Notamacropus eugenii: one gene and its partners. The protein of the gene in region 2 purifies or fractionates together with the protein of the main gene of each other region. This does not show direct contact. Links are inferred from orthologs where the notes say so. Each region holds a gene or a part of one and is shown on either strand. Other genes may lie near its edges.

Region 1 (6,889 bases), on a different chromosome or scaffold from region 2:
AGGAAGTTTGTAACTATGACTTTTTTTTGTCACCATCTTAAACAATTAATTTTATGCACTTTTTTTTTTTTTTGGCCACAGGCTACTAAGGTTGGTGGCACATCACAATCTTAAACCCCTTAAGACAAAATATAACATGGGGATGAAAATGGTTGCTACACTATGACATCTATTTCTCATTTTTTCTAAAATAAGGCCACAGAACCACTGTGAAACATAATAAAATCACTTATATTTTCTCCCACTTTAACAGGTTTCAGCTTGAATCTAAAAGCAGGGCATATGCCTACGTGTTTCATTATTACATGAGTGAATAGCTGGAGTGCTATCTTTTGGACATCTACGTGCAGTTATATAGATTAAAGTACAGCAGTATCCACACACAGAGAGTCATGCACAAATCTGTGTAAATACAGAAGCCTGCCTGATTAGCACGGGGCTAGGAGGATTTAACAGTATTCACTCACACACTCACACACACACACACACAATTACCTCAGAGCTTGAGAAAGAGGTTCCGGATTGGACGTCTCAGCTGTCACTCACAACGAGGGGGCAGTGAGATGCAAATCAGGGATACTTTGCATCGGCGTTTCCTATTCTTTGCCACTTTTTTTTTCCATTTAATGATAAAACAACTGTAGACCTCAGAAACTTGGGCATCTGCACGTAAAGACTGTGCCTCCCTTACCAAGTAGGGTGTCAGTCAATAATCTTTTACTTCACAGGGGAGGGAAATGGAGACAATTTAGCAATAACTAAGGCGGGTCAGGGGGAGGGGGGCTCGTTGGGACTAGGGGGAACCTGAGAGAAGGGGGGAGTCGATGGAGGGGTGAATAGCTAGGTCTCTACCCGAAAGGGAGACTTTGACCTTTCATTGATTTCCGAATTGAATATTTTTGTCCCAGGTCAGATTATAACACACGCCTGTCTCTAATTTATGAACTCATTAGTCTAATTTCATTATTTAATCATGCGCCAGCAATCGTGTTTCCTTAAGAAAGAACTGACCTATTTTTGGCTGGAGATAAACGATCATGTTAACAGATGTTAATCTTGTAATCTGTTTTTCCTGTAAGCACTTTACATACCCGCGTTTCAGACATTAAAAATAAAATCTTTTCCAAAAGAGTTGACGTCACATTTCGACTCCTTAAAAAAGCACTCCCCCAATTTTTCCCCCTGCAATGATTTCAAAGACATTAAATCTTTTTCACTTTATAAATGATGATTTGTTCTGCCTCAACTCCCACAGGCTTTTATTTGCATTTCAAATTCCACAGGTTACACCAGTCGCCTTTTCAGAAAATGTAAGCCAACAATAAGGCAGCAAATGGGTTTTTGTGCATCTGGATTAAATAAAGCGCAGAGTGAATACGTTCAGAAAGAGGTCCAAGCAAGTTGATCTTTGCACATTTAGAGTCCAAGTGACTCTTTATCAATATGCGCAATGAAATGAGTAAGATATATACACATACAAAGCACATTCCCCAGAAGATCCTAGTCTACTGCTGGGAGCTTATTAACGCTCATAATAAATGGTGCTGACTACAGACCCACACTTTTCAGTTAAAATACTGGGTCTCTATGGTCCTTAATTGCAGAGGTTAGCTGGTTTTTTCAGAAAACAACGGCTGATTGTCATTCCACCATCACAAACCTCTCATTTTAAATACCCCCACTAGGCTAGCTTTTTCACAAAGTTACCCATACGAAGTTTCTTAAAACTTGAAAAAAGTGGTTTAATCCAAATGAGGATCGTAACTATTTAGTATGCTAATTCTCACTTGAAATGAAAGATGAGGCATTTTTTTCCAACATGCGCCCAGTCTCCCCCCACATTATCTAACGTTGCATTTTTTATTTCCCATATTATCTATATACAGTATCTATATTAGGAAAAATAACAGCTCCCATCCCCACCCCACCCCCCAAACAGGCTATTTCATCTTCTAGTAGTAATTGCCACCCAGACATTGTCCTTCAAGCCCTTTTCAGCATTTCAGAGTCATTACATGAATAATTGTTTCTCCCCACTCCTGACTCACACCACACACAGACCCCCCCCTCCGCCAGTGTGCCCCAACTTCCCTTTAATAAGCCGTACACTACTTTAATGCCTGCTTCAGTTCTGTGCTCTCAGCTGATGGGATTGTAACTAGGGAAAAAGGGGTAAAAAAAAAAAAAAAAAGACCCGCACCCACACCCACAAACACATTCACAGGACATCAGGCGACTCATGCACACACTCAATCAATACTATCAGCAAAGCCCTTAATAATTTAAGTGGTTACTCCAGACTCGGAGCCCCATTACCCACCTTCATTAGCCCGAGCATTTTACTTTAAAGTCAGGCAATTTGCTCTTTGTTTCTTAATGGATGAATGTTGCATCCAAGCCCCCCTCTCCCCCCCCCCCCCATCTTCCCCTGTCGCCTTTGACGAAGTATACAAAGCGAAAGGCTTCTTCAAGCTCGGAGTCCCGGCCCCCCCTCCGCCCCCCTCCACTGCGGTAAAAAAAAAAATCTCCTTTTCTCCAAACAGCCCAAAGTTCCATTTTTAAGTCTTCAAATTACTCAGCAGATTAACTATTAATTGGAAAAGCGAAGTTTCCCTCCCCACCTCCCACGTCCCCCCCCATCTCCAACCCCCCCCTCGGGCGTATCACCCCAGGATCCCCATTACCTTGAGTACCCCCCACGACCCCTACTTCTCCTCCTCCACCTCTTTCTTCTCCCCCAAGAAGAGTGGAGCTGAGATCTCTCTGGGCCCCTTACCTTGCTGAGTTAAGGTAATGTTATTTTTGGAAGGACGCAGACAAACAGAAGAATCTGAAGGTGAAACCATGCGCTGAATGCAAGAAGGAAAGGACTGCACATGATTGACTGCGCCAGCTCCACTCGGGCCGAGGGGGGACGCCGGGGGAGCCAACCGCTCGCAGCGCCCGCCGAGGGGCCCCTCCCCGCCGGATCTCCCCTCGCCCCGTGGCTCGGAGGCACTGCAGTGGCCCCCAAGCGACGTGGGCAGAGAGGACTTCTCCTAACCAAGGCGTTTTCTGGAGCCTTTCCCACATGTATAGGTTGGTGTCTTCCCCCGGTAGGAGAAATGGTCTGTCCTATATTAAATGCACACTATCTACTATTGTCTCATCAGCACAAAGTTCTGCTACAATGCGGGGAAAGTCTAGATGCTCCAAATGACTCATAAACAAATAATTGTTCTGCTAATAGCATTGAATCATTATCCGATCCTGTATTTGTCCTACCTTCTTCCAGATGACCAGCCCTGCCTGACTTCGGGGCTTCAATTGCTGGATGCACTAAACAGACATATGTAGACACACAGACACACGTATGCGCCTACACGGGTCGGTTATACATTTGTAGAGAATTTGGGCACTTGGGGACAGATCCATTCTCTAGAGCTCTGAAAGGTTTGCTTAGATATGGATACATAGTTTCAAGCTGTCCCAGATGCATGTATATTACATATGGTTCGGTGTGTGAGTGCCTGTGTGTGTCTGTGTGTGTGTTTAACTCCCTGGTAAAATATTTATAGATTTATTCAAATGCACAGTAACAACACATTAAAGTTCTCAATCAAGATCAAAGAGTTCACCGGTTACACTGGAATATTTGAAAGACCTCTCAACAGTATTTGTGCCATATGGCTTTTGTAGTGTTGTGTGTGTGTTTAACTTTAATCCTTCAAAAGTTCAAATCTTATTTTTCTGTTTTCAGAACTCAATTTACCCAGACTACATTTAGCCAAAGGCGGAGCGGCTTATATCGCCCTGTGCATTATAATTTAACCCCATGAATTTTGGTGCTATCAAGGGTGTGGAAGGAGCCTTTCCCACTCTTCCCCTCCCAACCCCCCCTTCTGTCTGTGTGTCTTTCTCACCTCCCCACCCCACCCCACCCCCCCAACCGAAACGAATATATTTTGGAAAGGGCAATATTCTATTCTCCTTCCAGGTCTTTTCCCCTATTATAATTCCGGAATCCAGAAAGTCACTGTCCAGTAGAACCCTGAGTGGTTCTTGCTAGACAAGCAGCCCTCCAGTTGAATCGGTTACCTAGCGATGTGGTATTTCTACGCAGAACAGGCAAGCACGGCTGGAATGCCCTCCAACTTCTGGCACTTGCAACGGGAAGTACTACACAGTCAAACTCCAAGGCAAGGTCCCCTTGCCTGGAGGAGCAACACTCTCAAAGAAGTGGATCTGGAGGGGAGGTGAAGGTGGGGAGGGAAGTAAAGATTCATTGAAAAGAGAGAGGAGAAAGGCAGAGGGAAAAGAGGAGTGAGGGAGAGGAAGGGAGAAAGAAAGAGGAAGGAAGAGATAGAGACAGAGACGCCATGAAGGATACACGAATCATAAAAAGTAAGCTATGTGTGATTAATGATCTGCACTAATTTGGAAAGCTGGCATGTTAAAGGTCATTGACAATTGTTGCTAGTTTCAGCGTGAATGCCTGAGTGGGATGTTTTCTTGAACAATCAAATTTCAGTCTAATTCACAGGAAAGTACTGAAGTGCACACAGTCCATTGCAATGCACAGTAAAACACACCAAAGTACAACTCACATTCCACTGGAAGTTCAGCTCATTACCCAGATAAGACAATGAATGGACAGTCGCCTTGACTCAAAGTTATATACTTTGGAAGATTTTAAATTCAATACCAAATGCATGTCTCTATATTCTTTAGAAATACTTTATTACATACACCAGGAAGGTAAAAGCTGCATGGGCATGTTGCATTACTTGCAATTTTAGTAGTAGTTTGGTATGCCTTTAATAGAAAGATTTTTAAAAATCCATTATACATCTGCATTCTTGGATTCTACTTAAAATTGCAGTATCTGCTAATAATCTCCACATGTTGAAAATTGACAAGTTAAGAGCAATGAAAGGTGAGTGGTTTCCAAGTCCCTTTACACACACACACGCACACGCACATGCACACACACACACCAACAACATTCACAACCACAACAACAACCTGTGATTTTCATGGCTGCCTTTTTTCATAGTCAACATAGGGTCTTTCCTTAAGACAGCTGCTTGTAAATTCACTCAGGACTGTGCCTGTTGTGGAATAATATTGTGCTTCTAAAATATTTTTTCCCCACATTTTCTTGATTAGTACCCAAAAATCAGGAAAATTAATACAACAGACAAGCAGAAGTTAACTCCAAATCACCAGCTTGCTAAAAAAATCTAGAGAAGGGCAGCAAGAGCTCAGCATTGTTGTGATTTCAGTGAAAATCTCATCTGTGACCATCACAGCATGTTTACATTGTTCGGACAGGAAGTCAACAGTAGCTGTTTATAGTTCTAGGCAACATTAAAAGGTAGATTGCTGGAGCTCATCCTAATAGACTCCAGAAAGTCACTATAAAAAAATTCAAATATTTTATTCACATAACCAAATCCAGCATTGCCAAAAATTCAGCTGTTTAATATTTTCATACATTTAAAGTAGCCTATTAAAGATTAAGGAACACCATTACTCCATTATATAAATCCCTGAAACCTTCCAAGAGAGGCACTCCTGTTTTGAAATCTTTTAGTTAAATTACAGTATTTGGTGAGAGTATGTCAGTGATATTAATGGTTCAATACATGTTTGGCTATTTATAATTTTGTTCATATAATAATTCTGGCTAACGAAATATATGGAACAGGAAACATTTATTTTCCGTTGCTATAATCTAATAAATTATTTGTTCAGCATTGGGAACTCTGCTTTCTCAAGCTAAGGAAAATGGCATTTTGATGAAAATCTGTGCAATGGCTTGTCTGCATAACTTAGCTTTAGGAGTGATTGGTGGAAGTTTAGATAAGAAAGGTTCCTGAGAAACATTATTATAGGATAGCTAAGAATAAAAGACCACGTCTGTCTGAGAGCGAGAGGTAAAAACACACATGGTAAACTCCTAGATAGTCAAACCAAACAAGCTCTGATTAATATTACACCTATGTTCATCTTCATAAAACTGTAAATAGAACAGTCAGACAGTTTGGCCTGCTACTGTTTATTTGTGATTATTTCATTTAAATTATCTCAGTGTCTGAATTTAGCAGAAATTTCTCAGATAGAGTAGTAAGGCCCTGAAATCTTGGGACAAATCTTACCTTTATATCTCAGAACTCCCTTAAATTGGCAGATTTCCCTAGGGATCTGGAGAATAAATTTGACTCCAAGTCTAAAGTATTCATGGATGAAGACTTTTCATATGTGGCTTATATTCTAATTTAACCAAGGATAACTTTAAAAACAGAAATTAGAATTTCAAGATTCTGTTTAATAACTAGTCATTTCCAAGGACATTACCAATATCCATAGTCTGACTTTTAAAAATTTTCTTTTTTTCATAAAATACAGACACATTGAAATCTGTTGTATTTAGAATTTAGGGAGAAAAAGATCTAATCTATGGCTCAGCATAGACCATTACATATGGTAAACTCCAGCAGAGGGTGTTCTATGAAGATGTGGCTGGCTAATTATTTTTAAAATATAATTTTCAGTGGAATGGTTTTAGATTGCTTGCATAAGAATTCAACAATATTTTCCTCCTTGACCAATTGATTTTATTTCATTAAGAATTTTATTCCATTGAAGATAAAGAATATTTTGTCAATGAGCACTTTTAAAATCTTATATATACAAAAGAGGGTTCTGATTTTTAAAAATGTGGAGGGTGTCCTTGCCAATCCTTATCAAAATACTCCAATGTTTACATTGAGAAAAGTCCTAATCAAACATGTCTGTCGAGATACATTTAGGGTCAGGCTCTGATATTCTTTTTGCATAGTCATGGCTAAATCAAATGCACTTTTTGAAATAATACTTTTATAACAGGGAAACAATAAAAATTCAT
Region 2 (7,539 bases):
ACTGCATGAATAAAAATTGTTTTAAACTTTAAAGCAAATGCACAGAAGAGGCAATGGTTTATAGTATAGAATGCTTAAGTAGTTTGTCCAAGAGAACTGCAGAACAGTTAGATTAGAGGTCATAAACTTCTTTCCCCACACTACTCCATCAATCTTTCTAGGAACGAAGAACTAGATTAGTCTTTGATGCTACAAAACTTGGTATTGCTACTGAGACCTCCAAAAGCTATGAGTAAATTGATTCTTTTTTTTTTTTTGATGAAAAATCTTTACTTTGGATGCCTGATTAATATGCAGAGAACCAAACAGTAAGGGTTCCCAGTATTTTACTCTTTAAACTTAAACTTAAAATACTGCCCCCCCAAAAGGGAAAGTTATACTATACCTCCAAATAAAACTAATTCCTTAATGTTAAAAAAAAAAAATTTAAGCTATATGGTCTCTCCAGTACAAAGTTCCCAGAAGTAACAGACCAGAGCTTAACTATTCCATGTCTTAGTTACAATGTGGCGATTAGCCTTAGTGTGGTATAAAGTTATCACTTCAACATCAAAGTGGGGTCTGCTGGTTTTCACTAACTCCTTTTTGATTTAAGCTCTAATTCCTAATAGAAAATTTTAAAAAATATTCTATGAGATCTGTAATCTAGAACTTATTTGTAGAATGCGTTTTCCCAAACCCCTTGATAAATCAAGAAAAGTTTCCGTTAAGTTTCAGATCACTTTCCACCCCACTAGATGCTATTACCTACAACTTCTGTGCAGTATATGCAGACTTAAAAAAAAAAATGTATGAGATGTGTATCTTCTCAAGTTTTAAAGCAATAGCTTATGAAGTTCCCAATTAAGTTGATGATCATTTTCATAAAAAGTGACAAATCAGCTGAAAGAAATTCAAGGCATCTTTAAAACTTGCTTTTCTTTATTTTGTAATCCAATTAATTTTCAATACAGCAGCAGTTTAACAACATAACACTAAATTAAAGAAAATAATTTACCATTTCATACTGGATGCCAACTACCCAAAAAGATAAATTTTGAACCAACCATTAAACAAATATCTTATCTATAAATTAATTTAAAATGCTCAATCCTTTTCTCTTAGTTTTAATAGGAAATCAGACTTCCTAACCTCAGATGAGAAACTCAGGCTAAGAAGCTTTCCATGAAATCATTCCAAGCCAACAATTGTAACCTTAAACCGATGACATGCTTACAATGCACAGACTATATAAATATTTATACATGCTACCAAGAAGGGTAAATCAGTTGACATTCAGCAATTAAAGCTGCCTCTCTGAAGTTGCAATACTTAAAGGTTAAAGATTAGACATGCTCCCTCTTGTGTTAAACTAAGAATGCATGCTGTTTTCTCTGACATGCCAGTGCCACAGCCATCTGTTCCATTAAGTAAACCCTTTAAACTTTGGCTACTCATTCTCCCACCAAATCTTCCAGTTTAAAAGTAAATTAACTTTGCGCCCTGTACTGTGTATACACTGCCTTATTGGGGGACGGGATCAGCAATATCATAGTTATTATTTACCGCATAACACCCAAAATTGCATTGTTCACAATGAAATCCTTAGCGCCAAACATAAACAAAGTGCCAGGAAGATAAGGCTTGCCTTCAGTTCTCATGGATAATAATTCATATACTGAACAAATCCTGTCTCTCAAGTAACAGAAACCTGACCGTTGGGAACCAGAAAAACCTCCCTGGCCGGGTCAGACTTCCAACAATCCTTCCCGAAGGGCTCCCACGAGGCCAAGGATCCCTTTTATAGTCTCCACCAAATGAAGGGGACACGTTTTTGGAGGCGCTGGGGGCACGAAGTGGCGATCAGACAGGGTTTCTGAAGCTTCGAGTTTTGACAGACGGGGGAGGGCAGGAGTTCAGAGGGCATAAAGAGACATTTTGGCGAAGAGAATCAAGAAATGCGCTTAGTGACAACGCGGGGTGGCCGCCGCCTCCAAGACGCGAGCAGGTTGGGGGGTTAACCGCACCGTCGCCGCTCCCCGCCCCCCGTCCTTAGTGCGAAGGGGAGAAGAAGCCTCCGCAGCCGGCTCGGCCGGCGCAGCCCCAGCCCGGGTCAAGTCCCGGAGCGGGGTGGGAGGGGAAGCCACCTCTGGATTCCGGAGGGGGGTCTCCCTCCCCCCGAGGCCCGTCCCGCACCGGCTGCGCCCCCGAGGGGGAAGCGGGAGCAGCGGCTCCGGAGCTGGGCCGGGGGAAGGGAGAGCCCCAGCCCCGGCCGAGCGCTTGGGAAACCCGCCGGCCTGGTTCCCGGGACGGGGAGAGGCAGAGACGCATTCTTATTAAGAACGGGGAGGGGCTGGACGGCCGCAGAGAAGGAAGCCGCTGGGCCCCGAAGTTTTCCGAGAGTTGTCGGGCCACCCCCGGGAGTGCACGAGGACATTCCTAGACGGCCCGGCCCGCCTCCGAGCAGAGATCCCTCCGCCCCTCTCCTGCACGCGGAGGGAGCCCAAGAGCAGCTCGCTCCGCCGACCCAGAGCGCGCCCGGGGTGGGGGTGGGAGAGAAAACGGGAGCGCGCGGCGCGGGAGGGGGCTGGGGGCGGGGCCGAGCAGCGGTTGGGGCGGTTAGAACATTAGGAACGTCTCGGCAGTAGGGCCGCCCACTCCGGAGCCGGGACTGGGGGGCCTGCCCACCCCCGTACCCTCCCACCTTCCTGCGCCCAGATCCCAGGCCCGCCTCCCTTCCTGGGTCCTGGCTGCTCTGCCTTTCCCCCCACCTCGGCGGCTGCCCGCACCCGCGTGGGAGGCACAGAGGAGGGAAAGGAGCAGGGGCAAGGGAAGGGGAACTCACTGGGTTCTGAGGAGGGGGTCTCAGCAGGGTTAACCCTGTTCCCGCCACCAGCGTCGCTGCCTCCTGTGTGTTCAATTCACTCCCCTCCTCGACACCCCCACCCAGCTTCCACACCCCCTTCGCCCCTCCCCCACCCAAGCAACTTACTATCTCCCCGAACACCGCAAAACTCCTCAAACTCCCCACCCCCTCCGGACACGCCCCCTCTCCCTACCCACCCCTGTGCCCCCTTGCTCCCGCCTCCGCCATAGTCCGCTCGTTTGGTTTGCTGAGGAAGCTGTCAATCAAGGAGAGCTTTCTCTCCTTATTGGGTCGAGAGCCTGCCAGTACATTCCAGAAGTTCCTGGTTTCCCACCCCGAAAAGTGGTCCTGCATAGGGGCGTCCCTGATTGGCCCCCATGACCATCTAAGGCTCGGAGGGCGTCTTCAGTAGCCCAAGCAATTTTATACACTCGTTTGTGAAGCTAGAAGCACCTTTCGTCAGGGTCTCCATGTTTAGAATAAAATTTGTCATTGACCGCAGCCCCTAGCCATTAAATATGTGGGAAATGGAAACGTCAATCAGTCTACCTGGCTGGCCCCGCCTATCACGTCAGAGTCAGAAGGAAACTAGGTCCCTGATTGGCCCCTGGGCGACCCCGGGCCAATTGGGAATCATCACTGTAGCCCTGGCGTCTCAAAAACGAAATACGCCTTCCTCCTTTCTTTTCGGTCCAGTAAAAAACGTCTTCATAGCCTACGCTTTCCTATGATTGGAAGAGAATCATGAAAGGAGGGAGTTGATTGGACTATCCCGTCGTCCTTTCACGCATCCCTGCCCAGAGCTGTGCGTTCTTCCGCCACCACAGGCGGTTGGGCGGAAGCGATTGGCTAAAACGCCTGCTCCCTCCCGGTAATGGGTGGAGGCGAGGTGGGAGGGAAAGGAGAGCTGTCTGTTACCCGTCATGCACCGCGCCCCGGAGGTGGCTCCCTTTGGTCTGTAATGTTTTGGCCAATCCAAAATGGCGGTGCAGGAATCAGCTGCTCAGCTTTCCATGACCCTGAAGGTGCAAGAGTATCCAACCCTCAAGGTGGGTGCCGAGGGACCCGCCTAAGGGGAAAAAACGCTCCGCCGCCCCCCTGCAGGAGGAAGACTGGCTAGCCAGGGGCCACACCACGGCGCCACCCGGAGCGGGTGGGGACTCGCCTCCCCCACTGGAGCGGAGGGCGCGGGGTCTGTCCACGCCCCCGGCGGCCCGGGCTGGGGCGGGGACGGCGAGCGCGGGCTCGGGGCCGGGGACCCTCTAGCCAGGGGGGGGGCCGGGAGGATGGCGCCCTGGCTGGGGCGGAGGGTGGGGGGTTGGGGTGGGGTGATGTGGTGGGGGTGACCGCCCAGTCATTGCGGGGAGAGGGGGAGGGGGACCACTGGGGGCTTCCCCGCCCCGTCTGGGAAGGGTTAATGGGGTGAGGGGCACCAGGGGAGGAAATGAATCTGGACGGCCCCCCACCTGCCTCCGGGATGCCCTGTCTTTTTACTTAAAATAATGACCCAGAGGCCCTTGTAGGGGGGAGTACGGGGCTGAGGAGCGAGCGTCCGCGGATCCCGAGCCTTCCTGGGGCTAACACCGCCCAGAGACGTGTAGGATCGCGCATCTCGGGGGTCATCCAGCCCAGCCCCCTCCCTTTTGCAGACAAGGAAACTGAGGTCCGGGGAGGGGAGGGGAGTTACCCACTGAGCAGCATTTGAACCCAAGGCGTAGTGGCTCTTACTTCGATCTTGGAAGGAGCCTTAGAGGTCATCCAGTCCGACTCTTTCATTTTACAGATGGGGAAAGGAGATGGCTATCACACAGGTATTAAATTACTAGGCTGGGATTTGAATCCAGGTCCTTTGACCCCCAATTTAGCTTGCTTTCTTCCACTCACTGTACTTGGCTGCCTCACCCAGTCCTGAGGGAGAATAAATCGTCGGGTTTAGACCTAGAAGGGGCCTTAGAGGTCGTCCAACTCCCTCATTTTACGAAGGAGAAAACTGAGGTTTGGAGAAAGGAAGAGACCCAAGGTTATACTGTAATTAGACCAAGGAATTTTCACCAAATGTTCTGATTTCAAATGTAGGACATTTTAGGTTACACCACAACTGGCTAAGAATGATTTGTGGGAGGTGGGGAAGGAAGTCACTTGGAAAGTAAAGGGAAGATTGTTCTGTTGAGGTTGTGTTTAGAGCCCCAGCTGTTTCCAAGTAAGTATCACATGACAAGGTGATGAGTTCTAGCTGAATTCTTGGGGTAAACTAATGGAAAAAGAATCCTAAAACGGGGGAGGGAGGGACGTCTTTTACAGATTTCATGACTATCCTGTATGCTCCTTGTCACTCATAAGATCATTTATTCTCCTCCAGTTGAAGCATTGTTTAAATCATTCATTCCTTTAAGAAACATTTATTGAATATTATCTGTATAGGACACTATGCTCTGTCCTGGAGGAGATAAAAATTGTAGATAAGACAGTCCCTATTCTCATGTTACAGTTTCTTAGGATTTGATAAGGCACACGCACAGATAATCATATTTCAGTGACATCTAATTTCATCTCCTTTGATAGCAACCCTTCTGTGATTTAGTAGAAAGTCTTCAAGACTTTTAGTGACCAGAAATCTATCACCACGCAGACATTCTGGTGATGAGCTTCTCTATATTATGCTGCCCATCACTAGACCCATAAAGTCTGTCTTATAGATACCTATAAGGTATATAAATATATCTATATTTAGATAGTTCTGTGATTACTTAAGATTTTTTGTTCATGGCATTTAATTTCCCACTTTAGTGCCTTTGTACTGGTAGTCCCCCTATATCTGGAATGCACACTTCTTCGTACCTTTCTTTTAGAATACCCAGTTTCTTCTAAGTGATGACACTTGCTCAGTTGTTAGTGCCTTTTATGTCTTGAAATTATTTTTGCATTACTTTGTATGTACCCTGTATTTGAAAACTTGTACATATTGTATCTACTTTTTTCCAATGGCTTGTCAACTGCTTAAGGGCAGGGACTATTTTTCTTTCCGTTTTTGTATATGCAACACCTAATGAGGTGCCTTATACTAGTGAATCTTTAATAAACATTTGTTGGATGAAAGGGATTTAAAGTTGAAAAGAACTTTAAAGACCATCTTGTGTACCTCCTCATTTTACAGATGGGGAAACTTAAGTTTAGAGGGAAATGATCCTCCCAGGGTAACACAGAGAATGGTTCTCCTTTGAATTCAAGATCAGTTGAACACAAATTAAAGTTGTATGACACTCTCCATTCAATGAATAGCTCTGTGACCTTGTATAAATCACCTACAGTACATACCATTATCATTAACTTCTCTTAATAAGAGGAAACAAATTTATTTCTTAATATATTTGCACCACACATATATAACATACCTTTGATCATTAATAAGTAGAGTGCAGTATCCAAGACCTTTTGGATCCAACTCTTAAAATTTCAAGGTCATGATAACTATTAGAAATATATTTAAATGGCTTTTTGTTTTGAAGATCAGCATAGTGAAGAAAAAAGAACACATCTGGAGTCATCGGATCTAGGTCTAAATTCCCACCCTTCTACTTCCCACCTGTGTGACTTTGAGCAAGCTCTTTCACTGGAGCCTCAATTTCCTCATCTGTAAAATGAAAGGTTTGAACTAGCTGTGCTCTAAAGTCTCTTGCAGCTCTGAATTAACCAATCAGCAGAAGTAATGGATTCAGTTCCTGGCAGGCCACAACTTTGTTGCTTTCCAGAAGAGCAGGCTGCACTCCTTAATCCTGGTGAGCCATTAAGCTAGTTATAAGCACCACCGAATGAGAGTGTTTATGAATTACAGTGACTCTGTCTACCCTTTTGGAAATCATTTAGAGGATTATCTGCATAATGTCAGTATTGGAAAGATAGCACACTCATGGGATTCTAATAAATAACACACATTTGAGTATCTGTGAAGAAGATAGATAAGAAATAGAACCACATCTGTGTTCCACAAACTGTAGGTGAAATGATGCAAATGTGGAAGATTAGTGTCTCTTTTAGGCCAAATTATCATAGGTGATTATCATAGAAAAAGAAAAGAGTGTGCTATGGCTTTACATAGTGACAGATTTGAAATAAGCCAGGAAGAAATATGAAAGGGAGGAAGAACGCTAAATTCTTGATTCTCGATGACTGTTTTTATTTACTGACAATAAAAGGGGTTGAAATCATAGCTTTTCTCAGTTTTTGGCTTAGGAGCACTATCTACACTCGAGTCACTGAATAAAGAAATTGCCATGAAGAAAAAACTTCCCTCTTTTTGTGGCATAATTTAATGGAAAGTAAACAGAAAGGAAATTAGTTTCCCCAAAAGGAGGCACATTGATAGGTATTTGTTACTTAATAATTCAAAACGTGTCATTTGAATCAAAGATCTATTCAACATTCTTTGATTAAATAGTAACTAATAGCTAACAAGAGAGGATTGTAATCCCTTGTAAAATAGGTTTGTCAGGTGCAGACTAATTTTGGTTGTTCATTTTGTTTATTAAAAAAAAAAATCTACCATCATGATAAATTGAACTTCCCCTATTTTATCTCTTCTTTGTGTATATCATATATGATTCCTTCCTTCTTGACATTTAGGTGATCGTGCATGCCATGTGGTAAGTAAGAATGTTTGTTGATAGATTTCTTAGAATACTTTTGAGAATGATGCA
Region 3 (7,080 bases), on a different chromosome or scaffold from region 2:
ATTCATTATACAATCAATTTAGTTTCTCAACTAGAACAATTCTTCCATAAAAAGTTTGAATACTTGATTCCATACACTTTGCTATTTAATATTCCTCAAAGCAAAAGGGAGCTAAAATGTCAGTGAAAAAATAAAACAATTTAACTTAAAGTGAGCTCCATAAACAATATATTTCAAAGCCCTACTTACATTTCAAAATTTGCAATACCTATATGTATTTTTAAAAGTTATTGATTCAAGTGTAAAGGGACAGATAATGCTGCAGTCCAAGCCTTTCGACTACAGCAAGATGTTCATTTAATACTCAATTTCATATATAATCCCTAAACTTGGTTAGAAAAGTAATGTGATTTTTCCAAATTAAATAAACAAAACACCAAAACAGAAATATGCTGAATCTAATCTATTGCTACTCCTACCTTTAGTACACATAAACCTGATTAAGTCCTTTCCTCTGAGTCTTGCTGGCTCCAGGTCTGTTAGATCGGTGGAAAAAAAGCAGACTAAGAGAGACAGATGCAAAGTGGAGATGATGTTAGAGAGGAATGAGATACCTTCTCCACACACAGATCTGCACACACTAACTCCCTGTCTGTGTGTTAGAATAAAAGGCTGAGGGATGGCAGGCTGTCAGCTGCTCTGACATCATGTTCAGATGGAAATGCTACCTCCAGCTGTGCTCCTTTTAATGCCATATGCTACTCCTCTACACTCCTGCCACCAGCTTTTTCTTAGGAGAACTTTTCTCTTCTGTTAGTATAAACAAAATACTTCAAAGTCTCCTTTTTTTTCCCAAACTTTCTAACAGAAGAAATTGAAAAACTAAACATATGGAGCTCTACTGTATTTATGGAATAGCAACACTTGTGTCTTAAGTTGGTGGACTGGCTTATATATTGACAGGATACTCAAGCCACAGTGCTATTCAGGAAATCCACAGATTCACTTTTATTCAACTTAGAGGGTTCGTTTCAAAGGCAGCTTCTTTGGGATATTTCTAAATCAAACCCATTTGACTCTAAATCTATATTCCCATTTTAACGTTAGCATAGGGCTTCCATTTGTTTTTCTGCTGAGATAATAATATACATGTCACAGGAATGTTGGGAGACTTATTGGAAACTATTACTTCAGCCTGGTTCACCACAATTATTCCACTCATACTTAACTACTTATCTCCAACTACCTTCTAAGTATAATTTCTCATACTGTCGTAATCAATATCAATTCCAATTCAAAATACCAACAAGCTGAAAGCTTTACTTTTCTAAAAAATGCTGAGAAGTGATTACATTCAGTGAAACAAACTAATAAACTGGATACAATCTGTAACAGAGGATTAAAATGGCCATTGCACCTGCATATCTGATCTAACTTTCTGGCCAAAAAAGCAGAACCTTGTCTTCCCCTTGATCTGCTTCCCACAACAGTATTTTTGGGGTCACGCTGTAATTTTACTGATCATAATAAAGAGGTCCCTCATATACATAAGTCCAGTTAGTGCAGAAAGTTTTTAACTGGTTTGGGGGGGGGGGGTTTAATGGCTGATGAAATAGAGGTGTAACCTCAGCTGGACAGAATGGTGCTACGCATGGTGCTACTGACATCTGTGAATGTCAGATTCATCCCCAAAGACCTTTGGAAGGGCGAGGTGTGAATGGGGGGGTGGGGAGAGAAACATGGCCTTATAGCTCAACTGTAAGTGCCCCAGCTCAAATGTTAATGAACTGCATCCACGTTAGGAAAAAAGTGAGGAATGTTAAATGAATGGCAAAGTCAACAGCTCTCCCTTCCCTCCAATCCTCAAAAACTAACTTTTCCTAACAATGAGTTTATTACTAAAGTCAATTAGACTTGGTAGTCTAAGGATCCGCTCCTTCTGCACAAATGTCCTCTCCCTGCTCCCCGTGATCAGCCATGAATCACCCCATTTACTCAGTGGGGTGGGGGTAAGTGACAGTTTAATGGGTCCCCAACACCGCAATGGACTGGGCGACTCCTCACTCGACCAGTCGACCCCGCTCGCTCTGCTGCTGGTCCAGAGAGGTTGAGGTTTTACTTTTCGTCTTTAAAGGGGGTCGGAGGAAGGAGGGAAAGGTGCCAATCTCTAGTTAGTACGCTCCAGGTAAAGCACGTTGGGCAGATTTTTTAAAGGGGGTGGGGGGGAAGAGGGTTCGGCCAGAAGGAAAGACTCGGGACTCGCGGCCAGCCCACAAGAAAACACCTTCAGCAACAGAAGAAAACAGAGCCGGGTCACAGCAGCAACAAAAGAAAAGTCGCCAGAAGAAGCCAAAGCGAGCAGAGTGCTCGCCGCCGCTTCCCCGACGCCCCAGCAGCCGGCCCCCGGGCCTCGCCGCAACTGCACCAGCACCCGCAGCCCCCTGCCCCGGCCCGGGCGCCGCCGCAGCTGCACCGCTCCCCCAGGAGCCCCGTCCGTCCCGGGCGCCGCCGCAGCTGCATCGGCTCCCCAGCCTCCCCCCGCTTCCATCACCCCCTCCCTCCCGCCCCCGGAGGCTCTGCAGCTGCACGGGCCCCCTGCCCCTCCGCCGCAGCTGCACCGGCCCCGAGAGGCGAGGCGGGCCCCGCACCGCACCCCCGGGGGGGGCGCCCCGCCGGCCTCCCCGCAGCTGCACCGCCCCCCGGCGCAGAGCTCCAACAGCCCGAACCACGCAAACTAACTCCGCTCCTCCGAGACGAGCCCCGGCCCGGCCCGGCCCCTCCTCCCTCACCTCGGGCTCACTCTCTCCCGGCCCCCCGGCTCCCGGGGCTGGGGCTGGAACAGCTGGTGCGCCCTCCCCCCGCCCCGTCCTGCCCCGGGCCCGCCCTCCACTCCCTGACCCCGGGCCGGGCGGTGGGGGAGGGGGCGGGAGGGGGGCCGGGGTCAGGGGGAAACGTGCCGTAACCGGGACTCACACCCTGGAGCGGCCCTAAGTCACCGCGTCCCCGCCGCCGCCGCCGCCGCCGCGTCCGCGTCCTCCTCCTCCTCCTCCTCCTCGCCGCCGCCGCTCCCGGACTTGGTGGGCTTCCTCCTCCTCCTCCTCCTCCGGCCCCCCTCCCTCCCGTCCCCCCCCCACCCCCCCAGCCCCGGCTCCGTCGCCCGCTCCCCCCCTTCCCCCTTCACTCCCGCCCCCGTTGGCAGCCGGAGGAGCGCGGCGGAGCGAAGAGGGCCCCACTCTCAACGGCTCCCCATGGCAGCAGCCCAGCGGCGGCCGCAGCCAGCCAGAGACACAGCGAGCGCAGCGCCGGGCGGGGGTGGGGGGGTGGGGGGGAAGGGAGGGGGAGGGAACGGAGAGGGAGGGGGAGGGGGCTGGAGAGGGAGAGGGGGAGGGGGAGGGGAGCGCGGGCGGGGGGACGGGGGAGGGAGGGGGTGGGAGGACGCACCACGCACGCACGCGGCGGCGCCGGCCAGATGTTTCCCCCCTCCTCCCCAATCCGACCCCCCCACCCCCCCTCCTCTCCTCCCGGCACCCTCCTCCCCGCGCCGGCTTCCGCGATTGACAGACGGCGGCTGGACCGGCGCTCTTAGCCCGCCCCTCTCTCTGTCACCCCTCCCCACCCCGCTTCCTCCAATAAGAAAGTGGCTCTACGGGAGGATGGAGGGCGAGCGGACGACGGACAGTGTGCCCCCCCCAATGGAGGAGGCGAACTAAAGCAGTCGTCCGCGTCGGCCAATTGGAAGGTGGGGATGTCGAGGGAGGGCGGGGCCCGGGCTTGTGGGCGGGGCCGAGCGTGGAGGCTCGCAGCGAGGCCGTGCGGGGTGGAGTTGTTAGTGCAGCAGCGGCAGAGGCGGCGGCGCTCCGGGGTGACTTGGCCGTGAGAAAGTGAAAGGAACCCGCGGGCGGCGGCCACAGCTGCTCTGGGAGGAGCTTTGTTTCCAGCCCTGGACCGCGGGGCTTCTCCCCCTGTCGGGGTGCCGAGGGAGGGTCTCCAGTTCCCAAAGGGAACAATAAATACCCTCCTTTAGTGGTCTTGACCGCTGCGAGCGGAGCAGGTGTCCCTGCGTGCCCACGGACGCCCCGAGTGCCCGAGCCTGGACAGTGCCGGGGGTGCCTCCCGAAGCGAGCCCTGCAGGCCGGCTTGGCCCGCTCGGCGGCTCCCGGCGTGCGGAAGGCTGAAGTTGCTAGGGACAGTCCTGAGTGGCCCATGTCAGTAGTCACGCGTCCAACTGGAGTTAGCGAACTCTGGTGTCCCTGGCGGAACTGGTGCACCCCGTACTGCACACCCTTGGTGTCCATGCCCAAGGGGCCGGCGTCCGCCCGGTACTGCTAACATTGGGCCGAGGTGCCCTTACAAACACAGCCATGGTCAGGGAACCTTTCCTGAGATGCCCTGTCCAGTACCTGGCAGGAGGCCCCGCTGCTGAACTGAAGACAAGAAAGCAGAGAAAAGATGCAGCCTTCCTCTGTTTCTTTTTGGAAACATGCAATCGCCAGTAGGATTTTGAGAACCCTGCTATTTTTAAGACACCCTACTAGGCCCCAAGGGAATTTTGTTTAAAATATAGAGATCTACCCTCAAACATCCACTGCACTGTTGCTGAATGATAACACGAGTGAAAATCAGATCACAATAAAGTACAGTTTAAAACAAGAGGCAGTAACTAATCTCTAATTGAGTGGTTGTGTGCCACCTATGCCAACTGGGGGCACATCTGGAGACCAACGGTTCAAATGTGGTTTGACTGACTGACTAGATAGGTGAAAGTACTTTAAGTGCACTATTTTCAATTGACCAAATTGTTAAAGAGCTTTTTAAAAGGTTTTAAAAAAAACCATTGTTAGATTTGATTATCATGTTAATCATAGGAAAATGTTAGAGCTGTAGGGGACTTTAAAATTCTGTCTCCAAACATAATGAAATTAAGCAGCTTTTCCAAGCTTCTACCCCTAGCTGACAGAATAGAAACTCGAACCCACATCCACTGACCTTCAGTTCAGTGTTCTTTTCACTGCATCACAGAATTTGGAGAATTAAACACAAGAGAAATCAGTATTCCCATACCATTAGTCAATTTGTCTAAATCCTTAACCAGTGTTTAGACTCTCCTGTGAGCACACTAGTGAGCTAAGAACTGTCATCAGAGTTTTTAGTCCTTACAATTCCCTGATAGAGGTATACTTTTGAAGAGTCCTAGATCTACTGGTAGGAAGTTCCATTTCTAATAGACTCCTATAAAACTTGCATTTAATACATGAATGACTTGTATTTCATTAGCAAACTTTGTTAAGCAGGTATTTGTGCAGAGCAAGGAAATGTAGTTTTGATTAGACATGGTCCTTTACTGCATGGACATAGCTTACCTACTAAGAATTATTTAAAATAATTCCCAAAAGATATAAGCTATAGGTCACTAAATAAGGAAATAGTAAAAATAATTTAGTGGGAGGAAGAGATCAGAATTCAGCTTAGGAGAAGCAAAGCATGAGAATGCAGAGCTTCAGTGGCTGGCTGAATAAAATGTAGACACAAGTTTTTACAGTACTCTCGTGAGAAGCAGAATAACTTAACCACCAATCTCTTAGGAGATCAGATAGATCATAGACTATGGAGAGAGGGTAGAAACTTTAAAAGTTTCTGATGTATTTACAAGGTGCTATTTTTTTTCCTAATACTCGTCACTTAATCACAGCCTTGTAGCTCCAGAGCTAAAAGGGACCTCAGAGACCATCTAGCTTGCCCAACTGCTCTAGATAAGGAAATGTAGGCCTGGGATGTTAGGTGACTTCGTAGGATCATAGCTCTAGAATTCTGAGAACATCCAATGCAAACTCCACATTTTACAGATGAGAAAACCAAGGCTCAGGGAAGTTAGGACACTTGTCTAAGGTCACATAGGCTGTAAACATCAGGTGAAATTAAAACCCAGGTCCTCTAATTCAAGAGCCAGTGATATCTTCATGCCTTCCTCACTGTGTCACAGGGCCCACTTTTAATATGTTAGTAACGGGCAAATTCTGGAATGCCCTGTGCCATTCCCCAAATAACCTATGAATTTCAGGAAAATCCTGCTTTAAAACTCAAGCACTTAGAGGCTGTACTGATGACTAAATCCCTTGTCTGTGAGCCGATTCTATACTGGAAGTAGCACATAGGTTTTGTCCATAGCAATTTTGTATCAGAAGGTTGAAAGAACAAATTAAATTTGACAATGTCTTAGAATGAATATTGGAAAGCTTATAAGGATCTTGTTTAAATATTTGAAATATGCCCTTAAGAAATAGATGCATTGAAAAGTTACCTATAAAATTAATTTATATATTTTTAATATTAAGCAGCGAGGTACAGTGGAAAGAGTGCTGTACTTGGAAGTTCTAGGAGCTGAATTCAAATTCTTACTTCGGCACTTATTAACTTGTGTGACTTTGGGTAAATCATACAATCTCTCTGGTCCTTATTTGTAAAATAAAGTTGTCAGACTATGTAAACTCAAATATTCCTTCCAACTTTAATGATTCCATAACAAACACAAATTCAGAGCAGCAAGATTTTGAGTCTAAAGGAAAAACAATACCATGTGAAATGTAATAGAATGGAAGATGAACATGTGAAAAGTCATTCCGCTTCCATCAACCCTATTTCCCATTATTCTGTGTCAAGATAACCTACAGCTTTCTTAAGTTACCCAGATCCTATTTCCTCAAACTTTGTAGAAATTCCTGGCTTTCAGAGAGGAATAGCTTGGTCTGGGGTAAAGAGAAGAAACAAGCAGACAAACAATAATAGTATATATAAACTTAAGTGAACCAATTGAAAGACATTGCAATAAATTAAACAGTGGGCACATCCACTAAAACAGAGTCCAAAAGGCCTGAACATTCAATAAAGTGAGTTGTGTATCACAGCAATCCCCTAATTCATAAATCCTACACTACTGAATTTCCATAAGCAGCAGTTTTTGAACAATATAATATGCTAAATGACTCCCTACTGCCTGCAAGATAAAAATACAAACTTCTCAGCCTGGCATTTAAAGCCTTCCACAATCCACAAAATACCTTTCCAGGCTTATTTCATATGACTCCTTCAAAAACTCTGTTCTAGTCAAATTGGTCTGTCAGGTGATCTTTGAAAAAGACATTC
Region 4 (7,909 bases), on a different chromosome or scaffold from region 2:
ATAAAGGAATGGACTGAGTCTCGGGGATCTGGTCGGGCAGCCCCTGCCACTCAGTGGGGGCTCTGGGACGCTTTGCTTGAGGGCCCACTTGTGCCCACTGTCCCTGGACGGGGAGAAGGCTGCCCCTTCCTTACAGTCTTTCTGCACAGGCGACCACCTCTTCTCCCTGTATAGCCTTAGAGGGGTCAAGCAGCAGAGGTCATGCTGTCTGCCCCTCCTATGCTTTACCCACTAACCCAGGGCCTGAAGGGAGCAGGGGCTAAATGGATGTCCCCACCCTCTGCCCTCCTGTTGGGCAGGTGAGGTGTGGTGATCAGGGAGGCAGGTGATCAAATGTCACCTGTGGAGCTCCCTGCTAGTCTGGGGAAGACCAATCAATGAGACAGCTCTTAAAGAATCCAGGCAACGTTGGTGCCACGATTACAGGGCTCCATGTTGGGGACTCTCACACGTTCTATTCACTCAAGTCTACATAAGGGCCAAACTTTGTGAGACAGAGAGTGCCCCAGCAGGATTATGGTCACGTTCTCCAGGTCTCCATCTCAGAGTCCTCCTCCACCACGGGCCAGGAGCCTGGAAGGAGCCCTCGTGGATGACCAGTATGAAATGGGTCTCCCTGCCTCCTAGGATGGGTACTGGCCTATGGGAAACGTGGCTCCTGCTTTTCAGGGCCTAGTATACAGCATGCAATTAATCCATGCTTCTTGATGGATTATCCCTTTTCCATTTCTCCATCATTAAGGAAAGCACAGAAAGTGTTCAGGATATGTAGCCTCTGGGCTCCTCGATGGACTCTGTCAGCACCATGAATTATTCACCAGAGCAGTTACAGTCTGGGCTGCAGGGGCTAACTCTGTGTACCTTAGGGCAATGGGTCTAAGCTGGGGAACCCTCTGACCTGCCCTGAGGACTCAGACCCTGGAAGTGGCCATCACTTCCTCCACCAAAGAAAGAGAAGGAGAAGGGAAGAGAGGAGAGTAGAAGAAGGGGAGGGCTCGCAGCTTCCTCTCAGACCCAGGGCTGATACTAATCTAATGTCTTGGCAGGAATGCTCCAGAATGGGAAGAAATTTGATTCCTCCAGAGACAGAAATAAGCCTTTCAGGTTCAAGATTGGCAGACAAGAAGTGATCAAGGGGTTTGAAGAAGGCACTGCCCAGGTAAGGCACCTGAGGGTGGCAGCCTTGTGCGCTGCTACCTGCTCCTCACCCAGTTACTTAGAAGTGCCCTGACGACCTCCTTGCTCCTGAGACCCCTGTCTTCACACCATGTCTTTGGGACTTTCCCCAGCAGCTGTCATGGAGGAGAGGGAATCAGGAATGTAGGAAAGAACAGGGGAGCTGAGCTGGCATGGGGAGGACACCGACTAGTGTGTGCCCTGGGCTGTGGGCAGCTGGATCGTGGGGGGCAGATACCCACCCCCACACCCCCCCCTGTCTCTCTCCCCTCTTCCTCCCTGCCCCCACACCTGTCAGATGAGCCTGGGTCAGAGGGCGAAGCTGACCTGCACTCCCGACGTGGCCTACGGCACCACGGGGCACCCGGGAGTCATCCCTGCCAACGCCACCCTCATCTTTGACGTGGAGCTGCTCCGGTTAGAGTGAGCGCAGGCGCGTGCTCACGCCGTCTCCGCCCAGTCCCCAAGCTCCCACGCCAGCGATGTCCGCCGTCGTCTGCGTGCCCGTGTCCAGCCCTGCGCGGGCAAGCTTCTCGGCCCGAGCGGACGCCGGCGGAGCGTGCTCGGGCTGGACCTTTCCTTTAACTTGCATGTGACAGCACGCGTGTGCGTGTGCGCCGTGTGCGCGCTTTTTATCTATGAAGCCAAGTCCGCCCGCCTCGCCTGTCCGTCTGTCCGCTGCCTGCGACCCCGCCCGGGCCTTAGGGACGGAGACACGTGCGAAATAAAGGCCAGCCCAAGCCCTGTGCTCGCCTCGCGGCCTCCCCGGACTCCGAGGGGGGAGGGGAGGTGGGGCCCCCGAATTCTCGGGGGTGGGGGGCGGGGGGGGGCGGTGAGCTGCCCGCCTCAGGGTCAGCCAGGACTCCCCTTCGCAGCTCCCAGGGCTGGGAGGCCCCTTCCTGGGCGCCTCAAACAGTGCGGGGCCGGGCGCCCGGGAAGTCAGCCGGTAAACACCGACGGGGCACACACCCTGTGCCTGGAAACGTGCGCAGCACTGGGCGCACACAGAGGCGGAGGCGGCCTCACGGAGCCGGGACAGACACAGTGAGAGTGACTAACAGAGAAGGCTTCCCGCGGAAGGGGGCCAGCCCGGGGGACACGAGGGAGGCCTCTGGGAGCGGCTCCGGGCGCGGCCCTTCCCCTCCCGGGAATCAGGGCTTTTATCTATGAAAGGCACCTGCGCTGGACAGGCGAGAGGCAAAGGCTCGGCCCCCGGACCCAGCCCGGACCGGCTGTGTGAGCCTGGGCCAGTCACCTCACGGGCTGGTGGTAAAGAGCTCGGCCCGGTGCCCCGCACGGGCGCCCCTCCCCGTCCCCCCGCTCGGTTCCGGACCCGCACTGACCCGGAGGTTCCAGCTCAGGTCCTTGGGGCACCGAGTTACACAAGGGCCAGGGGGCAGCCGGGGTGACCGGCGAGGGGCCGGCATACAGGAGGCGCTTAATCCAGGTTGGCTCCTCGGGCCTTCTAAATACAGAGCTCCTCGCCACCGGGCGATCCCGGCGGGGGTTGGGGGGGGGGGGGGGCCCCGGCAGACCGGCGCGGGCAAGCCATGGCCCACGCAGCCATTCAGAGCCGCGGCCTCGGCCGGGCCGGGCCCCGCCCCCACGCGCCGGAAGTGACGCCACACCCGCCCCGGAAGTAAGTGACGCCGCGCGCTTCCGCCTCACTCACCCACACCGGACGGCGCTCCTGGGGCCGCGAAGTCCGCGGACTCTCGGACGGAGCTTGGCGGGGTAGAGTACGGACTTTCGGCTTCGGGAGATCTCGAAACCACGCCTCGCGCCCGCGCCGCTCTCTGCGGCGGTCACCTCACTTCCGGTGTCTCGCGTCGCGCCAGGAAGTGACGCTATCGGCGTACGCGGAGGGTCACGTGACGCGTCTCCTCTGCACCGGCGCACGCGCCATGGGGAGGGTTTCCGCGGGGCAGACCGAGGTCGCGGCCCTCTTCCTTCTCCTTGGGCTGGGGTCCCCCTCACGTGGGCGGGGCCGGGGTCCACGGAGGTGTGTGGGATAAAAAGACCCTTCCTCCAAACCTTAAATAAATGAATAAGCTTCTCGATAAGAACAGAAAGACAAAGGTTTATCACAATTCTCGGGGACCCGCCGGAGGGCGGCCACTCAGCCCGAAGCGCAGTTTTATCCCCCCCCCGCTGGCTGGGGGCCGCGAACCCCGGGAAATGCCCCTCACCCCGACACCGTGACCCCGCCCGATAGGAAGGAGGGGGGCGGGGGAGCTCGGGCAGCCTCCGGGCAAGAGTTTTAGCTGAGGTTTTCACCACTCGCCATGTTTCTATCATGAAAAAGCCTTCACAGCACCCTAACCTCGCTCGGGGCGCCCAGGGGCCGCGGGGTGACAAGGCCTTCCGCCTCTGCCCGCGTGGGGGCGGCCCCGGCGGAGAAGAGGGGGTGCGGGGCGCCCCGAGACAGAGAAGGGGGGAGGGGGCGGCCCCGGCGGAGAAGAGGGGGTGCGGGGCAGGGACACAGAACGGGGGGAGGGGGGCGGGCCCGGAGCAGGACACAGAACGCGGGGAGCGGCCCCCGCCCCCCAAGGCCGTCTGACCCGGATCGTGGTGCCCGCTCTGGGGGGGGGGGTGCCCCTGACCCCCTGGCACTGACGTTCTGGCATCATCTCCTGGCTCAGAGAAGGGCTCCTCCTGTGCCCCCAGAGCCCGCCAGGGCTGACGTAACATTCCTTAAGACCTTTAACCTAGGACACTCTCCTGGATAACAGGACGTTTCCATGTCTTCCTATGTGCAGACATGTACCGTGTGATGGCGTGTTAGCCCTGGTCGTGTTTCCATGGGGAGCCCGCCATTAAGAAGCTCCTTCCTAACATCCGGTCAGTCACCTGGAGACCGCGGGTCTGAGGGCATGGACACGGCTGTCCTAAGCAGACTGAAGGCCGCCCAGGTCTCTGTCCGGGCAGTCAGGACGTGCCCGGCTCCGCGATGCCTTGTGCTACCGCTGTCTGTGACAGGGAATGGATCCATCGATTATTAGATCACAGATGTGTGCATCAGCCCGCTGCCTTCTCTCTAACCGATTTTCCAGGTCCACAGCCCGGCAGCCGTGGGCGAACCCCCTGCTGTGGGGGGCGTACCCGGAGGTGCCAGGGCCCTGGGCACGTGGGAGCTGGCGGCAGCTGCTGAGAACACGCAGGCAGGGCACCGTGAGGAGCCACGTCCGCTTTGGAGCACGAAGGCAGTGCCCCCGTGGGTCAGACCCATCACGTGCCGTGTAAGAGGGCACCCCGACCTTCCGTCCCCAGGGGCAGGAGCCCCACGCCCCGCAGCTGCTGCGTGTGCAGGGGGACACTCGGACCCTCGCAGAACACGTCCCACGCGCAGTGCAGGCGGTCAGAAGGGCCGGGGAGCTGGGGGTGCGCCAGGGAGGGGGCGGTGGGCCTTCTCCGCGCGGGTGTCCGCTGCCACGCGGGACACGGACCGAGACTGGCCGTGGAACGCCCCTCCACGGGGCAGTCACGACCAGTCCCGACGTGAACAACCAGGCCTCCTCCGGGTCTGTGCACCCGAGCCGGGCCACACCGCGCCCAACCCGCACAGCAGGGGGCGCTCCGCATACCGCCCCCCCCCACCAGCGCTCTCACGGACGGCCGCCGTGCCCAGGGGCCCGCGAGGGGCACAGGCCCGGCGGTGGGAAGGTCTGAGATCCGGAGAAGGCGGGCGGCGTTCTCGGGTGCGATCCCGCGGGTCCCGGGCCGCCACCTCAGGGCAGTCACGTGGCAGCCACGTGGCAGACCCGGCGCCGTCGTCCCCGCCTCGAGGTCAAAAACGCGCGTGACAAACCCCGCCCGCTCCTTCTCCTAGACGTCCACGCAGCCCCCAAGACACGGAGCCGGGCGGGTAGAGGAGCTGTGCTCGGGGAGCCCCGGCGCGTGGGCGCCAGTCCCGCCTCACGCTCGTGTCCGCGTGGGCACGTTCCCAGGGGCCGCCGGGGCCGCCCGTGAAGGGACGTCCCACGCCCCTGAACAAAGCGCTTCCCCGTCCCCTCCTCTACCCGCGTCGGTACCGCTGCGGTCCCGTCGGTACCGGGCGGTCTCGGGGGTTCCCGCTGCCGCCCCGAGCGGGCCGCGTGCGCCTTCCTGCGGGCCCACGAGCTCCCGGCCCCCTGTCCGCGTGTCCGAACCGAGTGTCCTGGATCTTCCCGCCCGACTGGCCGGAGGGTCTGACCCCTCTGAGCTCGGACGGAGCCGAGGGGCTTCGCCCGCCACGCTCGGCGGGTCACGTGCCGCGCCTTCCTTCTCTGCGGTCAGTCACAGTGGGCCCGTGGCGTCGTCTCGCCGGGCCGTCAGACGGGACACGCGCGGAGACTCCCCGCGAGACGCTCCCGCTGTTCAGAAGGGGCTCTCCGCGGCCAGCCTCTCGCTGCCCCCGGCGCGACGCCGTCACAGCTCCTCGGGTAGCACGCCGTGCCTGCGGGCTCAGTCCGTGGGCTTCGGGGCCCCATCGCCCGAGGGCGCCTTGGTAACAGCTCGGCTCCGGGGTGAGCGTCTGCTTCGAAGGAAGGGAGCCGCGGCTAGAGCGCTTCATGGCGCTCCCCGGAGGCTTTAGTGCCGGCGTCGGGACCAGGCGGCCGCTGGCTCTTAGAAGGAGAGGGAGCGTCTGTCCCCTGCGGCCGAGTTTCCGTTCTCGGGACGGCCCGCGTGCTGATGCGGAGTGACCGCGAGCTGATGCGGGGTGACCGCAGAGCTGATGCGGGGTGACCGCAGAGCTGATGCGCGAGCTGATGCGGGGTGACCGCGAGCTGATGCGGGGTGACCGCGAGCTGATGCGGGGTGACCGCAGAGCTGATGCGGGGTGACCGCAGAGCTGATGCGCGAGCTGATGCGGGGTGACCGCGAGCTGATGCGGGGTGACCGCGAGCTGATGCGGGGTGACCGCAGAGCTGATGCGGGGTGACCGCAGAGCTGATGCGCGAGCTGATGCGGAGTGACCGCAGAGCTGATGCGGGGTGACCGCGAGCTGATGCGGAGTGACCGCGGAGCTGATGCGGGGTGACCGCGAGCTGATGCGGGGTGACCGCAGAGCTGATGCGCGAGCTGATGCGGAGTGACCGCGGAGCTGATGCGGGGTGACCGCGAGCTGATGCGGGGTGACCGCAGAGCTGATGCGGGGTGACCGCGGAGCGCAGGACGTCGGTCTCCACCCACATCTGTGCTGCCCCGCGCCTCAGCAGGAGTTAGCGCTGGGTCCGGACTCGCCGGGGGCAGCGGCGACAGCTGAGTTCTGAAGCTTCCCTTCCAGAGTGAGCGATCAGGAGACAAACAAGCCTGTGGAACAGCGAGGCGCGTCTGCTCAGCTGTGAGGTTCGAGCTGGAGACCCCTTCTGCTTAAGGCGATGCAGCCATGCTAGTGAAGAGTGATCACTTGTGAGCTATCTCGTCCGTGGTAGGGATATAAAGGAGAGTGAAGCCGCCTGAACAATGGGCCCAAGAGATTTCGAAAGATAAATAAAGGTTTGATTGAGAATGCAGAAGGCAGAGAAGGTTGGGGACACATGGGGGTCATCCAAGCCTCTCCTGTCTCCAGACGGCTGCTCCGGATACCTTTGTACCAGGCTCCGATGGTTGACGAGAGAGTGGGGGGAAGAATCTTCAGAAGACAGAAAAGGGTTGTCACTTCATTTGATAATCAGTACCCTGCCAGATTTGAGATGGCCCTGCCTAAGGGATACCAACCCATATTTCACCCCTTCTGGTCATTTTTTGGCCTTTGTTTGCTTAATCTCCTTGCCAGATTTGTCTCCTCCAGGTTTAGCTCCTTCCACTCGCAGATGACCGTTCTGGCTGTATATCACCCTCTGTCTGAGACCATTACACATCACTGTCCGGACCTGGATCATGTTCCTGACACTGACTGAAGAACCAACCCCCTGAATGGGACCTCTCAAGGCAGGGACAGCTCTACGTCCAATCTCAGCATGAAGCAGTTTCGGAATCTGAGACCTTCATCCCTTACCCCAGAAAGATTTTGGGTCCCATCTGTTTAAGAGGGGAATGATGGGGTGCTTGGGTGCATGTACTTGGGCCCCAATTCTGGAATCACATTTCTCCCTAGCCTCAAAATACTGCCATTATAGGCAGATACTATCCTGATCAAGTTTAGCTGTTTGAGGAGTAGGTGTACTAGGAGGAGTAATTGACTCCGACTATGTTGGAGAAATTAAAATAATTTTGCAAAATTTGGATACTGAACCTTATCCTACAACAGAAGGAGAGCTGCCCAACTAGTTATTATCCCTTGCCTGAATCTTGAATGGGCCAAAATTCATACACCAGAATCTTCTGATGCCAGAAGGGGAGGATTTGGTACTACCAATATGACAATTGACTCCAAGGCATGGGATAAAAATAAGCCTACAGACTGGCCTAAGGCCGTGGAAATCATAGCTGAGGGAAAAAATAATACAGTGCTGGTTTGTTACTCAGGAGACGATACCTTATATGATGTTCCATTAATACATGTCTTTTTATGGGAATAAAGTGTTTTTTAAGGATATGGCTATTGCTGTACACCATCTCAGAAAATTTTGCCTGGATCCCAGGAGCATGACTGCATGCAGGTGGCTCTCAAATAACCTTACAGTGGAGAAATTCTACCACCCCTGATAGGCATTTTCAAGTGATGAAGGATCAGTTGAAGAATAGTAATTGTACCACCTGGGGCATTAACAACATGACCCAGTGTATTAATGTTACTAATAACATATCC

What was found.
Region 1: the proteins of CTBP1 (region 2) and ZNF516 purify together in Homo sapiens (co-immunoprecipitation; 4 studies listed by BioGRID and IntAct, counting the BioPlex papers as one, with this or other methods). This does not show direct contact. The link is inferred for Notamacropus eugenii from reciprocal best matches to the Homo sapiens genes CTBP1 and ZNF516.
Region 3: the proteins of CTBP1 (region 2) and ZBTB18 purify together in Homo sapiens (affinity purification with mass spectrometry; 3 studies listed by BioGRID and IntAct, counting the BioPlex papers as one, with this or other methods). This does not show direct contact. The link is inferred for Notamacropus eugenii from reciprocal best matches to the Homo sapiens genes CTBP1 and ZBTB18.
Region 4: the proteins of CTBP1 (region 2) and WDCP purify together in Homo sapiens (affinity purification with mass spectrometry; 3 studies listed by BioGRID and IntAct, counting the BioPlex papers as one, with this or other methods). This does not show direct contact. The link is inferred for Notamacropus eugenii from reciprocal best matches to the Homo sapiens genes CTBP1 and WDCP.

What each region holds. Positions count from the first base shown.
Region 1 is NC_092875.1:206,431,922-206,438,810, reverse strand, and holds the start of ZNF516 (zinc finger protein 516), read right to left. Parts: upstream 3,016-6,889; 5' UTR 2,777-3,015; intron 1-2,776. UniProt on the Homo sapiens protein: Transcriptional regulator that binds to the promoter and activates the transcription of genes promoting brown adipose tissue (BAT) differentiation.
Region 2 is NC_092877.1:48,808,579-48,816,117, forward strand, and holds the start of CTBP1 (C-terminal-binding protein 1), read right to left. Parts: upstream 3,015-7,539; 5' UTR 2,972-3,014; exon of another isoform or gene 2,825-2,971; intron 1-2,824. Other genes in the region: E3 ubiquitin-protein transferase MAEA, read left to right, coding at 3,826-3,894. UniProt on the Homo sapiens protein: Corepressor targeting diverse transcription regulators such as GLIS2 or BCL6. Has dehydrogenase activity. Involved in controlling the equilibrium between tubular and stacked structures in the Golgi complex.
Region 3 is NC_092873.1:405,072,835-405,079,914, reverse strand, and holds the start of ZBTB18 (zinc finger and BTB domain-containing protein 18), read right to left. Parts: upstream 3,001-7,080; 5' UTR 2,914-3,000; intron 2,818-2,913; exon of another isoform or gene 2,730-2,817; intron 2,145-2,729; exon of another isoform or gene 504-2,144; 5' UTR 433-503; coding exon 420-432; intron 1-419.
Region 4 is NC_092872.1:761,414,653-761,422,561, forward strand, and holds the start of WDCP (WD repeat and coiled-coil-containing protein), read right to left. Parts: upstream 3,015-7,909; 5' UTR 2,849-3,014; intron 1,931-2,848; exon of another isoform or gene 1,604-1,930; coding exon of another isoform or gene 1,475-1,603; intron 1,160-1,474; coding exon of another isoform or gene 1,047-1,159; exon of another isoform or gene 1-1,046. Other genes in the region: peptidyl-prolyl cis-trans isomerase FKBP1B, read left to right, coding at 1,047-1,159, 1,475-1,603.